Linked DNA regions of Lonchura striata. The protein of the gene in region 2 binds, or shares a complex with, the protein of the main gene of each other region. Links are inferred from orthologs where the notes say so. Each region holds a gene or a part of one and is shown on either strand. Other genes may lie near its edges.

Region 1 (7,211 bases), on a different chromosome or scaffold from region 2:
TTTCCTTTTCCTAGCCATGTAGATATAACCTCTGTTTTTATGAAGCTCTGAATCTTCCTAGTGCTCAGTCCTGGAGAATCCAGGTGACCATCCTATACTTGCCTTATTTCTATAGCCTTTCTTCCAGTATATCCTACCTATATCAAAGTCAGACCACCTGAACAGATGGAGCTTTGGTCTGACCTAATAGGGCCTTCTTTTGTACTTTGTACTTTTACATTTTATGTTAATCTTTTATAGAAGTTTATAGCATACCCCACCTTGCCTTCATCATCCTGCAGCAACATCCGTCCTGAGTCAGATTCCTTCACAACTGCCCCAATAGGGACATTAAATTCACTGTTTGGTTGAGTGTCCAGCCACACATGATCACCCTGGGGAGAAAAAAGCTACTGTTGAGTACAGTGACATACTTGATGCCACATAGCTCACAGGCAAACACCTCTTGGTCTTCCTTTTCTAGTTATTTGATTTCTTTACAAGTGTTTAGTTGAGTAAGTTCTTACTGCTTGCAGGCAGCACATTTACAGACCTTTGAATTCTGCTCCGAGCACCACAGCTGATCTGGAACATGACTTCGGACAAGTCATCAAACCCAGCTGTCTCACAAGAGGAAATGAGGCAACACTTTTTCCAAGAACAGCAATAATGCAGCTCCAGTACCTCTCAGAGGCTGACTGGGGGCACAGTGAATGCTGGGCAACTGGCTTGGCAGCCTCACATGAGCTATGATATTTTCTCAGAAGAGATTCTTGAGAACATAGACTTTGCCAGGAAAGAGAAAAACAAATAGATGTACATATTGGATGCCTGGAAATGTAAAGGCCTCTGTTGTGAGAAATTTTAGATATATATTTTTCCTGCTATAGCTGAAATGGGATCTCTCCATGATCTCTCTCATGAAAAAACCCACTAGCATTCTTTATCCAGCCCAGTCCCTCTCTTCACATAGGTGGAGGCTTATCAACATCTGGCACCTCTGCAGAGCAAGCAAGAACCTGCTCTGCTGTGCCTGGAGAAAGGGGTGAGCCACAGCTGCCCTTTCCTAGGAATAAGCAACATCTTGGAGTTTTCTGTACCAGTGTCCTGGTTATACTTCCCTACTGCAGGCTCTCGGGAGCACCTTCTCTTGCTCCAGTCCCTAATACAGATTCAAACAGAAAGATGGAATAAGAAATGATCAGAGTTGTAGATCAGTGTACTTTCTAGCTGTGTCTTGTCATATACAACTTTTGTTACACACCACAGCACTGATTGTCATAGTTTCAATGTTTTTACTGAAAAAAATATTTCTTTTTCCTCTCAAAATACTTTGTGGCTTACATTTAAAACCAAACAACCAATGTTAAGCATCCATAAACATTGCACAAGATTATGAAGAATGTTACAGACTAGCAGCTCTTATTTGTGTTGAATAAAACTCCAAAGGTAACTTGTGTAGTTTCAGTGCCACACCTTGTGACAGAGGTCACCTGCTCAACAAGAGGATGGCCTGGTAAGGCAAGACACCTCTGCTTCCCTAGTCTAGGCTAAAATTGTTTTATACCTTGTTGATACTGGGTTATTGCAACTTTCCTTTGATTGAATCATGATGGTAAGGTAATATTCCTCCTCTTTGGGCCTCAGGCTAATCACTCAATCAGAGCAAAGAGTAGGACTTACCTTTCTGAAAACCACCATTATGTTTCAGATCACTGTATGCAACCTGCATGCCAAGAACATAATGTTAGGTCAGAAAAGGGCTTTGATGAGAACAGACAGTGGGGTTTCCTTGCAAAAAAATAACATCAAAATGTCTTGAAATATTTTTTTTTTAAGTAGAAGAGATCATAGTAAGATACACTCAATGTAGAAACAATGACACCATCTACACAAAGCAAAGAACCCTACAGTTCTCTGAGTTCTATCATATAACCCTGGAGATGCTCTCAGCCCTAAAGATTTCACTGTCCACATTTTCATACCAAATAATTCTCTCAGTCAACTACTAGGCACAATTATTGTCTGAACTTCAAGGTTGGCTCACTAATAAAAAGACTCCACAGTACAATGTGATTTGATGCACAGCAGAGTTACCTTTAGCTAGTCCATTGACCCAACAGTTCAGTGGCTATCCCAGAGACACAGGTTTAATTAATACTTTCTGAGCTGAGTTCCCTCATACCCTCCAGCTTGAACCCACCACTAAACAGAAACAGAGGGTTAGAATTCACCTTCCTTGGCTGGAATGGGAGGGATTGCAATAAAGGCATGAACAGCAAAATAAGGGACTGGAGGGAACCACGATAAAAGTAGGAACATACTATTAAGAACATTACAGCCAAATCTCAGTGGCCAGAAATCTACAGCATTCCTTTAATTAAGGGATGGTGCAGTTTAGGCTGTCCTAATCAAGAAACTGAAGTCTTCAAAGCAACTTTATGTCCCACAGAGCTGGATTTTGGGAGTGATTCCATGTCTAGGATGATTTGCCAGCTGGTCTTTCATATTCTGTTATTCTTACAGTGAAGTCCTCATGATCTCATTCAGGACTCAGAGGCAGGACCTATGTATCAACTTCAACACTGAGATGGCCTGTTGCTGTGAGTGGTGCAGGGTGGAACAGAAGCACAGTCCTTGGCAAATACATGCTAAAGATGGGCCACAGTCAGTGATTCACAACTGCCAAGCCCTTTTTCACCTGCACCAGAAACCAGAATATGGCAAAAGAGTAGAAAAGTTGGCCCCGAACAAGGAGGGAGTGGCAGCTGCAAACACAGAGACAGCCATAGAGGGTCACATCAAAGGGACAGCTGTCTCCAGATCCTGTCTGACAGGAGCCAACAGCAGATGTGGAGGGAGGAGATGCCGTATAATCCCAGGATATGCAGTTCCAACACCTAAAATTCTTATTCCCAGAGTGGCCACCCCCTGCACCTGGTTGCATGGTCACTTCCTGGCCAAGCCTGGCTCTCTCTGCTGCTGCTCTTGACAAAGTAATTCTGCACCATAAACCAAATCACACCCCACAGGATGGGCATTTACCTCTCCAGAAGAAATCTTCACTTTGCGGCTTTTGCAACAGGTCGCTCTTTTTCATACGCATTGGAGTAAGAAGGGAAAGGATGGTGAAAGTGGCCCTGGTGCCATTAAGTTACAGTTCTCCACTGCACAAAGGAGGAAATGACTGAAGCACGGTTATTTATTACAGGACTTTGCTCCCAGTTCAGTGTATATGTCACTTCCAGGTCAGGTGTTCCAGGGAACACAAAGGCTAATTCTTGCCTGAGTGAACCTTAAACTTAAGTCTCTCCACTAGGCCTGTATCCTTTCAGATTTCTGGAAAGAACTCTCAGAAGAAAACCTTTAGCATCTGGTCTTATCCTGCTCCAGCATGACTGACTTCCCTAAGACTGTCTCTCAGCCTATTATGTTATGTATGAAGAAAATCAGACCCTCATTTCTTCATCAAAACCTCCCCTTGGTTTTCCATAGCTCTTTTCTGCAAGAAAATGCCCATTAGTCTGTGTTCTCTCTGGTCTGTGTTTCACAGTACTTAGAGTTCAGACCAAAATTAACTCATCACATTTAACTGAAATTCATAGTACACACCCACATAATTGGACAAAACATCCTGGTTTCACTCTCATTAATTTATCTCTCAACAAACACTCTTAACAAACATTTTGTCCCTGTGTTTCAGAATCCAGGTGCATGTTAACTCCCTAGCTGTCCACTTCTCTCTTCCCAAAATGGGACAGGATGGCTAAGAATTTTCCTCTGTCTATTGACTCCATATGTACTCTCTGTGGCCTTCTTGCAAAACTGGTAAAATTCCAGTATGGGAAAGAAACAGAAGTGTAGTACATATGTAGAGAGGCAGACACAGGGTTTATGCAGCCAAAGCAAGAACTCAGGAATCAAGCACATTCCAGCATTTATGATGAGCCCAAACAGTGAAGATGAGATTTTTTCCAAGTACCTTAATCCAGCCATGTCACCTTCCTCCGGGGCCCTGTGCACAACACTGTGCAGTAGTCTGTGTACCCACTATTAAACTTGCAAATATAAATGTGCAATAATTGTGAGCATGTGCTTATTTTCTTGTTTCCGAGGTTCAGTGTGGCTGTGCTGTATAATGGGGCCCCTGATGTAGCTCCACGTCCAAATCAGAGGTAAGAATTCAAGCATAACAATAAATAGTTGGGAGTAGCATGTGTTTATCAACATCACATATTTGTGTTTTAATGTCAGCCTCCTTACTTGAGTTTTTGTTCAAGTCTTACAGCAGCAGATACAGAAGCAGAAATAAAATGTAGGCCCTTCAGGGCTCAGAGACTTTTGGAGAGAAGCAGAAAGCCACAGAGAGCTTTCTTCAAGTTTCTAACTGCGCAAGCAAGATTTTGCTTCAAAGTAGTTCTTTAGCAGACTTATTTTTGATACAGTATTTAGATGTCTACATGCTGTATGTGATTAACAAAATTCCAAGTACTGGTTTTATTAGTTAAAGGTCAAATAGTGGCAAAGAAATCCAAGTACATACTTTTATACTACAAAGGCAGATATCTAAAACCAAAGCTTTTTGTATAATTGGAAAAAAAATGCTGTGCATATTCCTTCAGCAAACAAAACATACCTGCTGAAATTCCAAATGGAGCCTGTTTGAGGGCAGAGAATCTCATTCTAAAATTAACTACATTGTTAACAATTGTGCCCAAGATACAGTGCCTGTGCTACTTCAGAGAGAAATACAGGATTTATGTCCTATAGACACTGTACTAGATGAAATCATAGGGAAATCAAGGTCATCTGAAAGAAAAGTACAACTTATTGTACAGCTGAAATAGGCACTAGAAGGGAGATTTTGATTTCCACAGCTGACATATTCAAGAGGTAGAAAGCAAAAGCTGAGGGAGCAGGGACTTGATATACCAAGGGGAAGCAGCTAGGATGCTCTGTGCAGCACATGCAGCTAATGGGGTGAGCAGGCTAAAGGTGCCTCCAGAGAAGGACCTGTGAGTACACAGGGGCAGCTCAGGCTTGGCAGGCACTGAGCTGTGCAGATGGGAAAAGACAGGAGAGGAGCTTGCCAGGAATGAGCAACGCGATGTACTGCTGAACACAGAGTTTGGTGAGGGACTCTGCAGGGCACAGGAACATTTGTAGTGGTAATTAGGGGTGATCTGTAGCATGGTCTATGCTGATTAATTGTTGTAGGCTTTCCTTTAAGCAAATTGCTGATGGTGAAGATAGTGACATTACATCTTAAGTAGTAAAGCTCAAAAAATTATTATGTAGCAAGACACTGGCACAGGCTGCCCAGAGAAGCTGTGGCTGCCCCATCCCTGGAAGTGTCCAAGGCCAAGTTGGACAGGGCTTGGAGCAACCTGGGATAGTGGAAGGAAGTTCCACCCTGCTATGGTGGAACTGGATGAGCTTTAAAGTCCCTTCCAATCCAAACCATTCTGTGATTCTATGATGAATGCTGCACCGAGAAAAGCAACAAAATAAAATTTGAGGAACCCTGGTAAATTTAATTCTGCTGTTGTTCAAAGTAATAGGTCTGTCCAGATAGACATGTGTTAACAAAACTGCTCTTCCTGACACTTCCTAATTAAGAGATTGATGTCAGGATCAAAGGGTTTAATTTGCTCATGGCACTACCTTTCATATTTTCTCTCCAGCTAAAGCAAAGTGGCCTCGTCACTTCTGCGTCACCAGGTCCTGGATACCAAACATCATTTTATGTTAAACTAGTTATTTCTCTGAGGTTTCTGAAGCGAGGTGGATTGGGTGTAACAATTTGCAATTTAAACTGTTCATTCAGCAGTCCTCTTGCCTACACTAACCTCCTTCCCTTCCTCTAAGCAGATTTGTAGCTCTAAGTCACTGATGTCCGTTAACTCTGAAAGAGGCAGTGCAGGAAACAAACTAAATAAGAAGTACATACCATTACAGGATTTCCAAGTGCATCGCATAGTTTTCTTGAGCATTCTGTTCCTCAGGGAAAGGCTTATTTCATTCCAGCCTGTTCATGGAGTTGCACAGTGAGGCAGACTGGCAGGGCTCTGGGATCTGTGTCATTACACACCTTCACACTTGCCAAGTGGGCGCTGCTTACGCTGCTTGGTAGAAGACAGGTCATTCTCCCCCACTGTGCAATCCCATTATGGTCTGACTGTCACTCCATCCTTCCTTTTGGAAAGCAGCCAGGATGGTATTACAAGAGTATGTTACAGACTGATACTGCCAAGCTGTGGCTCACGAGGAACAAAGGCATGTGCATGTTAGTGTACGCACGCACTTACTGCAGAACGAGGGCTGGAATGGATGCCCAGTTATTCAGCATTGATGAGGTGAGGTTGTTTCAGACACAGTGCTCCCTCTCCTGTGTGATGCATGTGGCATGTCACAAGTAGGTTAGGAGGTATCATTTCAGAAAGACTGGAATTTATAACAATTAGGAAGAGTGATTCCTAATTCCTTCCACTCTCAGTAAATGCATAAAATATCCATTCTTTCATCAGTGATGCCTCAGTGCAATCTGGAATTTGGGACAGTAGCTCACCATGACTGCAGAACATGACACATACCTATAAAGGACTAATTTCCAAGGCAGACTATCATCATACTCTGATCCTCTTGGAAATTTTAGTATAGGATAGATTTCTGTGTTTTCTAGGCCCTTTGGTAGAATTTCCAGGTACCTTGGTAAACATTATTCACAAGGGATTTTTTGGTTTGGTTTTTTTTTGTTAGTTTCTATTTATGTTTTCCCTTGTCCATTATTTTCTGTTACACTACTCCCAAGTTATTTCCTTATTTTTTTATCTGTTGTGTTGTAAAGTTGCGATCCTGCCTTCGATTTAGTCAGTTGTGTAAAGTCATTCCATTTCTTTATGGAAGTCAGAGAAGTGCAATGACAGGAGCTTCCCATCACATACTGCCACATGTGCCAGCTCCTTCCAGAAAAGATCGCAGTGAAACTGCACAGTGCAAAGACCTAAAAGAAGTAAAAATCATGAGAACAAGAAAAAAGTGCATGATACCATTAACAGCATGGTCCTGAGCCTCACTTAAGGATCTTTGTGGCTATCTGGAAAAGACCAGAGCAGTAGAGCTGTAAACAGACACATTATCTGTGTTTCAGGGAAACAAAACAAAACAAAACAAAACAAAACAAAAAAAAAGGTTTTCTGCATTTTTTCTAAGAATTTAGGATTGTATCTGAG
Region 2 (7,254 bases):
AGGTAGGGACAGTGTGTTTCACTGCTCAGGGGAACATCACTGCTATGTGTACCTTCAGAGGTCAGAGTGAGCACCTGGCAAGAACAGAGGCAGCAGCGACACTCCCTCTCCAGTGAAGGGCCCCGAGAACACAGCAATGACCCTGAAGGCGAAGCAGCCCAGCAAGCCAGCAGGGTGACATCTCCCTGTTTGCTCCACAGTGAAGAGGGCCAAGGCTCAGCTCCCACAGCTGACAGCTGGAGTCAGAGCCCACCACAAGCACCAGCTGAAACCAAGAGCAGCTGCCACCTCTCTGACCTCCCTGCACACAAAGCGGAAGAGACTCGTCACTGAGACCCAGGCTCATAGGCTCAGTGTTTCCTGCCCTTCCCAGCCCTCTGCTGCTGCCCTGCCACACAACACCTTCCCCCTGCCAGCCTGCCAGCCAGATGGCTCTCGCCACCCCTGCAAGCCTCTTCCTCCACAGCAGCAGGAGCTTCCAGTGCCTGGCAGCAGACAGAGGGACCACGGGAGCAGCCAGAGCTGCACCGAGAGCATCTGGGCAGAACCCACGGAGTGGACATCAGAGTGCTGGCCAGCCCTTGGCCAGCACCCAGCTGCCCCTCAGCACCTATCACATCATTTCTCTCTGTTCCAGGGGCATATCCCTTCTCCCTCCCACCTTTGCACAGCCAGAGCACAGCAAGTTGCCACAGTCTGAGTCCCATCAGGACCAGGACACACCATGGTGGCAGCCACAGCTCCAGTGAGCTCTGCCCTGGCCACACAATGCCAGCAATGGACAGACCAGATCATCAGGGCCCAAATCCTGATCTCTACTTGAACGAGCTGGAACTTGCCAGGGGATATCAGGACAGATTTTTGTCCACCACTTGGAGAGCGCCTAGCTCCAAGCAAGGCTAGGGGAACAAAGCCTTGCCATCCCACTGAGACCCCTTGCATGGCTGCGTGCAGGGAGGTGGCACTGAAGCCTCCAAAACACACACAGGTACCTCCTGCCTCACCTCCCATGTCAACACCTGCCCTGTCTCCACTGGCACCGTGTCCCAGTGCGGGGGGGGAATGGAGGGGCCACATTTCACCTGCTAAACGTAACCCACTGCTCGAGGGGTGTGACACCACCCGGCCAGCCCCAGAGCAGACACCCAAAGGTGACGAACAAAGGCACCCAGCAGGCACTCCGCATTAGCAGTATTTTTAGACACACTATGGAGCCGGCCTTATTATTTTCATTGCAACGTGCATAATTACCCACCATGCACCGCAGTGACATCAGACGCAGCCGGCTCTCCTCCGACAGCTGCTCCTCCTCCCGGGGCTCCTGCTGGCCCCGGGACCCACCTGCCCCGCCGGGCTCTGCCCTGCGCATCCCCCCGGGGCACAAGACCCACCTCGAGGGCGGCCTCGAGGTCCTGGGGCATCAGAGCCGACATGGGCGCAGGTGATAGAGGGACAGAGCAAGGCAGTGGCACAGGACAGAGAGAAGGCAAGGCAGGGATGATGTCTGGAGCTGCAGGCACACACAGCCGGTTGTGCTGGGCCGGTGCAGAGCTGGTGGACAAGGTACCAGCACAAAACAGAGCCAGGGTCTTGGAAAGAGGGGTTGTCCCCAGACGGAGGAACAGCACCTGCCTAGCCACAGAGCTCAATTCCTGCCCGGGAGAGCAAACCCTGGAGTGCATTCCAGCTGCCCACAACGTGGTCCCACACGTCCTCCGTGGGACAGGGCTGCCACGGGCCCACACACAGCCCACGCTGCCAGCACAGATCCTGCCGGGCCGGCGGCGCGGCTTGTGCCACCGCCACCACCCCCGGTGCCACTACCCCCACGCCGTCACCTCGGGCTCATTTGTTTCCTACCTCCTCTCCAGGGACAACTTTCCGAAGAGTTTCACCACTTCCCCTCCCGTCCCCTCTCCCACACCGGAGCCTGCCCCGAGCTGACACAGTTTACCGGGTCCGGGGGAACGGCGAACGGGACACCGCGAGGTGCCAAGCGGGACGAGGACACAGCCAGTCAGAAGCCCGTAACCGAAGCCAGACAACCAGCCTCAGCAGAAGCCCCCGACTCCCGCCCGGCCGGGATCGCGGGGGACCCCGAGAAGGGGCTCCGGCCGGGCAGGCTCGGACAGCCGCCACGGGCAGCAGCGCTCCGGCTCCGTCCCCGCTGCCCCCGGTCCCCGCGGGGCTCCCCCAGCAGCGGGGGCTCCTCCCACCGCCCTGCGGCTGCACCGGGCCTGGCTGCGCTTTGCGGCCGCTTCCCCGGGCCCCGATGCCCCGGCAGCCGCCACCCCCGGCCGCGCCGGCCATCCGCCCGCTCCGCGCACCGGGCCCGGCCCCGCCGCACCGGGCCGCGCTCGCTCCTCCGCCCGCCGCAGCGGGCCCCGCAGCCCCGCATCCGCCCCATCGCTCCGCGCCCTGCCCGCCGCCCTCCCCGTCCCGCCGCCCCGAGGCTGCCCTCCCCCTTCCCTCCGCCTCCCGCCAGCCCCGGGCCCTGCCCGCCGCCTCCCCCCGGTGCCCCGGCCCTGCCCCGCACGGCCCGGGCCTGCGGCCGCCGCCTCACCCCGTACCTTCGGGAGGCGCGCCCGCGGCGCTCGGTGCCGTGCCCCGGCGCTGCCCGCCCCTCAGCCCGCTCGCATGGCGCGGCGGCCGGGCCCGCCGGGCTCCGTGTCGGTGCCGGTGCCGGTGCCGCTCCCGCTCCGGTCTCAGCCCCGCCTCATGGCGCCCCCGCGCCCGCCGCGCCGATGGAACCGGCCGCGCCGCGCTGCCCCCCTCCCCGCGCGGCACCGCCTCCCCCCCCGCGCCCGCCGATGGGCGCGCCCGCCGCCTCCTGCCGTAATGAGCCCAAGAGCGGCGCCGCTGAAATGCGCGGCGGAGCTCCTCGGCCGTAATGCTCCGAGTGGCAGCGCACAAACGCCGCCGGGACGGGGCTGGGAACGATCACGGGAATTAGGGAATCGCGGAATCAGCTAGGTTGGAAAAGACCTCTGAGGTCATGCAGCCCAAACTATGACCCAACTAGACTAGACACTCAGTGCCATGTCAACTAGACCATGGCACTGAGTGCCACATCCAGTCTTTCCTTAAACATCTCCAGGGATAGTGACTCCACCACATCCCTGGGCAGCCCATTCCAATGCCTGACAAAACTTTCCGTGAAGAAATTCTTCCTGATGTCCAACCTAAACCTTCACCGGTTGCCAGGGGGAAGAGGTCGCCTCCCACCAGGCTACAACCTCCTTTCAGGACGTTGTGGATGTCTCAGGACAGCCCTGGGAGGTGTGGAAGTGCCCCAGGACAGCGAGGAGAAGTTTGCAGAACAGTGTCCAGCACCAGCCCCAGGAGTCTCTGGGGAGGCACCCCAAGATAGCCCTGAGAGACTCTGGGGGTAACCCCAGGCAGCTCACGGGGTGTCTGTGAGGATGTCCTGGGGCAGCCTTTGCAGGAGCTGGGGTGGTCCTGGAACAGCTCAGGAGAGGTTTGCTAAGGGGTGGTCACAGCCTGTGCCCTGTAGCCCCTTCTCTGGGGGTTGTCTGGGTGTAGGGTGAGATGAAAACCTCAGAGCAGGCTGAGTGTCTGGGAAGACTCCAGAGTTTTTCCAGTACCCAGGCCCTGTGTGTTCTCCAGGGAATAAGGCCACGGATGCGGGGGTCCAACAGGCTGGCCGTGCCCCCCCCCCCCACCACCACAACCTCCCAGTCCTTTTCTGCCTGAGCAGAGCTGGACAATCCACCCTTGTCCCTAGTGGGTCTGAAGTAGGTCAGGGAGGCTGGGCCAAGCTCCTGGGGAGGGGAGTGGGTGGCAGGGGGTGCAGAGGGCCCCAGGCACCCACCCCAGTGGCCACACCACAAGGTTGGTGCCCACCCCCCTGTCTTGGTAGGACCCCAGTGTCCCCAGCCCAGGGGATGCAGGGCATTTCCCTAACCCCCCCTTTGGTCTCCTGGGGGGGTTTGGGATCCCTCTGCACCCCTGCAGGCTCCACATCCCTTCTTGGAAGCTGGGATTCCATGGATGCAGGCTGGGGTGGCTGAATCCTGAGGGGCAGCACCCAGTATGGACACCTGGGGACTTGGTTTTGGGGAGTGAGCCTGGAGCTGAGCTGGGTGGGAGCTGTGGGATGAGAAGAGGGAATATGGAAGACGGGAGAGGGATTTCTCACCCCTTAATTGCAGTTAATGATTGATGAACGTGTTTACTGCAGGAGGCAAAGGTCTGGCAGTGTCAAGACGAGAGTGCAGAGGCAGCATCCCCAGGGACACAGGCACAGGTAAGGGATGTCAGCCCCTATCCCAGTCCCACGGGCACTTTGCTGCATGGAGGGGAGGTGGGGGTGTCTGCCAGCCCTGGAGCTGCCCACAGACCCCGGCACAAGGAGGGAGACACTGCAGTCCTACCATGGGCTACTCCAAGCACTGCTTGGAGAGACCCTGTTGGGCACAAGCAGTGGAGCCTCCAGCCATGCCCAGAACAGGCTCTTGGGGTCCCCCAGGCACACCTAAAGTCTCCTCTACCTGGAGGCCAACCCTGTCCTCGCATGCCATGTCCTCAGGGAGCCCACGCCCAGGAGTGCAGTGTGGAGCCTGGTGTTTGCTCACCAGCCCGGCTCAGCAGAGGGGACTGTCCCCACCAGCACCTCTCCTGCCCTACTGGCTGCTCCCCAGGAGGGGTTTGGGGGGCAGGCCTCAGTCTCTCAAGTGCTTGTTCCCTGGTGTGTGCCCACAGGCATCCTGGCAGGATGGCATGGCGCTCTTTGGTGCTGCTCCCCTTCCTCCTGGCAGCAGGTAAGGACTCCTCTTGGTGATCTGGCATGGGTGAGTGGAAGGTGTTGGAGTTGCTTTCAACTCCCAATACTCTTTCTCCATTCCCTGGGGGAAGCTGCAACCCCAAAACAGCTGCCTGCCCCACTGGGGATGCAGGGCAGGGCAGGGCTGGACAGTAGGGAAAGCATGGGGGCTGCAGCTGGAAGAGAAGTATGGTCTGGAGGTGTGGGATGAGCACAGGGGTGAGGCTGGGGGTTCCCCTGCCTGCATAGAGACCCCAGCCACGGCTGGGAGCTGGGACTGGAGCTGAGGAGGTGCTGCCAGACGTGGCTGTGCCAGCAGAGCCCGGCACAGTGATGGTGCTCAGCTCCTCTCCCCTGTAGTTTTAGGAAACACAGTCCCCATCATCAACGTGACCATCTTCCACGTGCCTGAGGACCTGGAGCTGGGTGAGTAGGGCGGTCTCAAGAAGGGCCTGGGGTGTCAGAGGAGTGACTGGGGGGTTTTTGGGCAGGGGCTGACACTGCCTGGGCCCCCAGGCCAGTTTGCTTTCCAGCTGCAGGCTTATGACCTTGACAACGACCCTCTCACCTACCAAATCCAAGGGATAGACGCCTTCTACTTCTCTGTTGAGTTCAAAACAGGCAGAGTGACACTGAGGAGCTCCCTGGACCGTGAGGTGAGGACAGAAGATGGGATCAGATGTCCCTGCCTGAGAGAGAGTCTGGGGGTTTGGGGATGGAAGGCAGAGCCTGTGGGTCACTCCCTGGAGGGGAAATTGTCCTCACAGAGGTTGGGGCTCAGACATCCAAGGATTGAGCTTCACTTTGGCCCTGACCAAGTCCTGCCTTGTGTCCCCTCAGCTCCAGGCCAAGCTCACCATCACTGTCGGAGTGTCAGATGGTGTAAATAACGAGGTGAGTGCTTGGCCAAGGGCTGGGTGGCTGCAGGGGGAAGAGAGCCCCCATGGCCAAGGCTCAGTGGGAAGACAATTGGAAATGGGTGGGTGATGCTGGCTGGCTAGCCAGGGTGGGCATGGGATGCCAGAAATGCATCCAGCTCTGCTGGCCACCATCTCTCACACACCCATCCTTGTGCCCTCTCTGACACCTGGTAGGTCTCCAAAAAAATCACCATCATCGTGGATGACCGCAATGACAACGCCCCGGTCTTCCAATACCTGCCATATAATGCCATCATCGCTGAGGTACCTTTCTGGGACCTCCCAGTCCCCACGGGCAGCAGGGCAGGGGTGCTGGGTGGCTCCTGTGGCATGGGTGTGCCAGCAGGGGGACAACAACAGGCTGGGAACAGTGTGGCCCCACAGCTGGGTGTGTGGTGACAGCGTGCCTGGGCGTGGGGTGCAGCCAGCACCTGGGAGCACTCTATCACCAGGGCAATTCCCGATGGGAGCCTCTGTGTCACCCTGAGACGCTGGAATGTGACTGGGACTCTGCCCTTGCAATGAGTTCAGGGTGTGCCCGAGCTACCTGTCAGCCCAGGACAGTGTGACACTGAATCAAGGTGTAGATGGGGCGTGGGGCTCAGTCCGACCCCCATCCAGCAACCCCAGGGCTGAGGTGCAGCCTCTGCTCCCAAGGGACCCCAGGGAGGGTAGCGAGGGGGTCCAGCCTCTGCCCAGCCTGAGCAAGGGCAGCAGCTCATCCCTGTGTGTGCCCCACGACACTGGGCAGTGCTGCAGGGCCAGAACCTGCCAGGGCAGGGCTGGCAGGGTCCAGGCCCAGCATCACCCCCCTGCTCTTCCACCACCACCCCCTGTGTGGCCAGAACACGAGCGTGCACAGCATCATCTACACCGTGTTTGCCAACGACAGCGACACCGGGAACGCCTCCAAAGTCAGCTACCGCATCGAGGAGGTGAGCTCAGAGCACTGTGGAGTGGGTCACCACACCCAAACCCCACCCCTGGGCCACCCCTGTGGTGCTGAGGGGCTGGGGGACATGGCCAGGGCAGACCCATATCTCTGGGGGGGCAGGGAGGTTTTGGGCAATGGGTGCAAGGTGCTGAACAGTTTCAGGCTGGGGATGAACCAGGTGGCTGGGGGTCCCCACGGATCAAGCCTGGCAGAAGGAGGGGGATAGAGCCCCTGTCTCTGCTGGGACAGCTCTGCTCCCTGCCTTGGTGACACAGGCTGATGTCCCCTGCTCAGGTGATCCCAGACAACGTGAACAATCACCAGCTCTTCTACATCCTGACCAATGGCAGTGTGGTGCTCAATGGCTCCCTGGACTATGCCAAGAACACTTTCTACCAGATCAAGATCCTCGCCCAGGTGGGCACCATCCAGGCTGGGGGTGCAGGGAAAGGGGCTGGGTGACTGACAGGTGCTCTGCTCCTCAGGATGGCGGGGGATGGCTGCACAACAATTGGACCATCCAGAAGAGCTTTACTTACCTGTCCCTGACCATTAAGGACGTGCCCAACCTGGACCCACGGTTCCTCAATGAGCCCTACTCAGGCTCTGTGCCTGAG

The links. The genes of interacting proteins can lie anywhere in the genome.
Region 1: CDHR2 (region 2) and MYO7B share a complex: the UniProt entries of both Homo sapiens proteins name them as parts of the IMAC/intermicrovillar adhesion complex. The link is inferred for Lonchura striata from reciprocal best matches to the Homo sapiens genes CDHR2 and MYO7B.

What each region holds. Positions count from the first base shown.
Region 1 is NC_134612.1:7,446,510-7,453,720, reverse strand, and holds the start of MYO7B (unconventional myosin-VIIb), read right to left. Parts: upstream 3,091-7,211; 5' UTR 3,025-3,090; intron 1,706-3,024; 5' UTR 1,681-1,705; coding exon 1,663-1,680; intron 375-1,662; coding exon 261-374; intron 1-260. UniProt on the Homo sapiens protein: Myosins are actin-based motor molecules with ATPase activity. Their highly divergent tails are presumed to bind to membranous compartments, which would be moved relative to actin filaments.
Region 2 is NC_134617.1:3,431,265-3,438,518, reverse strand, and holds the start of CDHR2 (cadherin-related family member 2), read left to right. Parts: upstream 1-4,175; coding exon 4,176-4,267; intron 4,268-4,722; coding exon 4,723-4,781; intron 4,782-5,143; coding exon 5,144-5,209; intron 5,210-5,299; coding exon 5,300-5,439; intron 5,440-5,623; coding exon 5,624-5,677; intron 5,678-5,877; coding exon 5,878-5,967; intron 5,968-6,548; coding exon 6,549-6,638; intron 6,639-6,931; coding exon 6,932-7,054; intron 7,055-7,122; coding exon 7,123-7,254. UniProt on the Homo sapiens protein: Intermicrovillar adhesion molecule that forms, via its extracellular domain, calcium-dependent heterophilic complexes with CDHR5 on adjacent microvilli. Thereby, controls the packing of microvilli at the apical membrane of epithelial cells.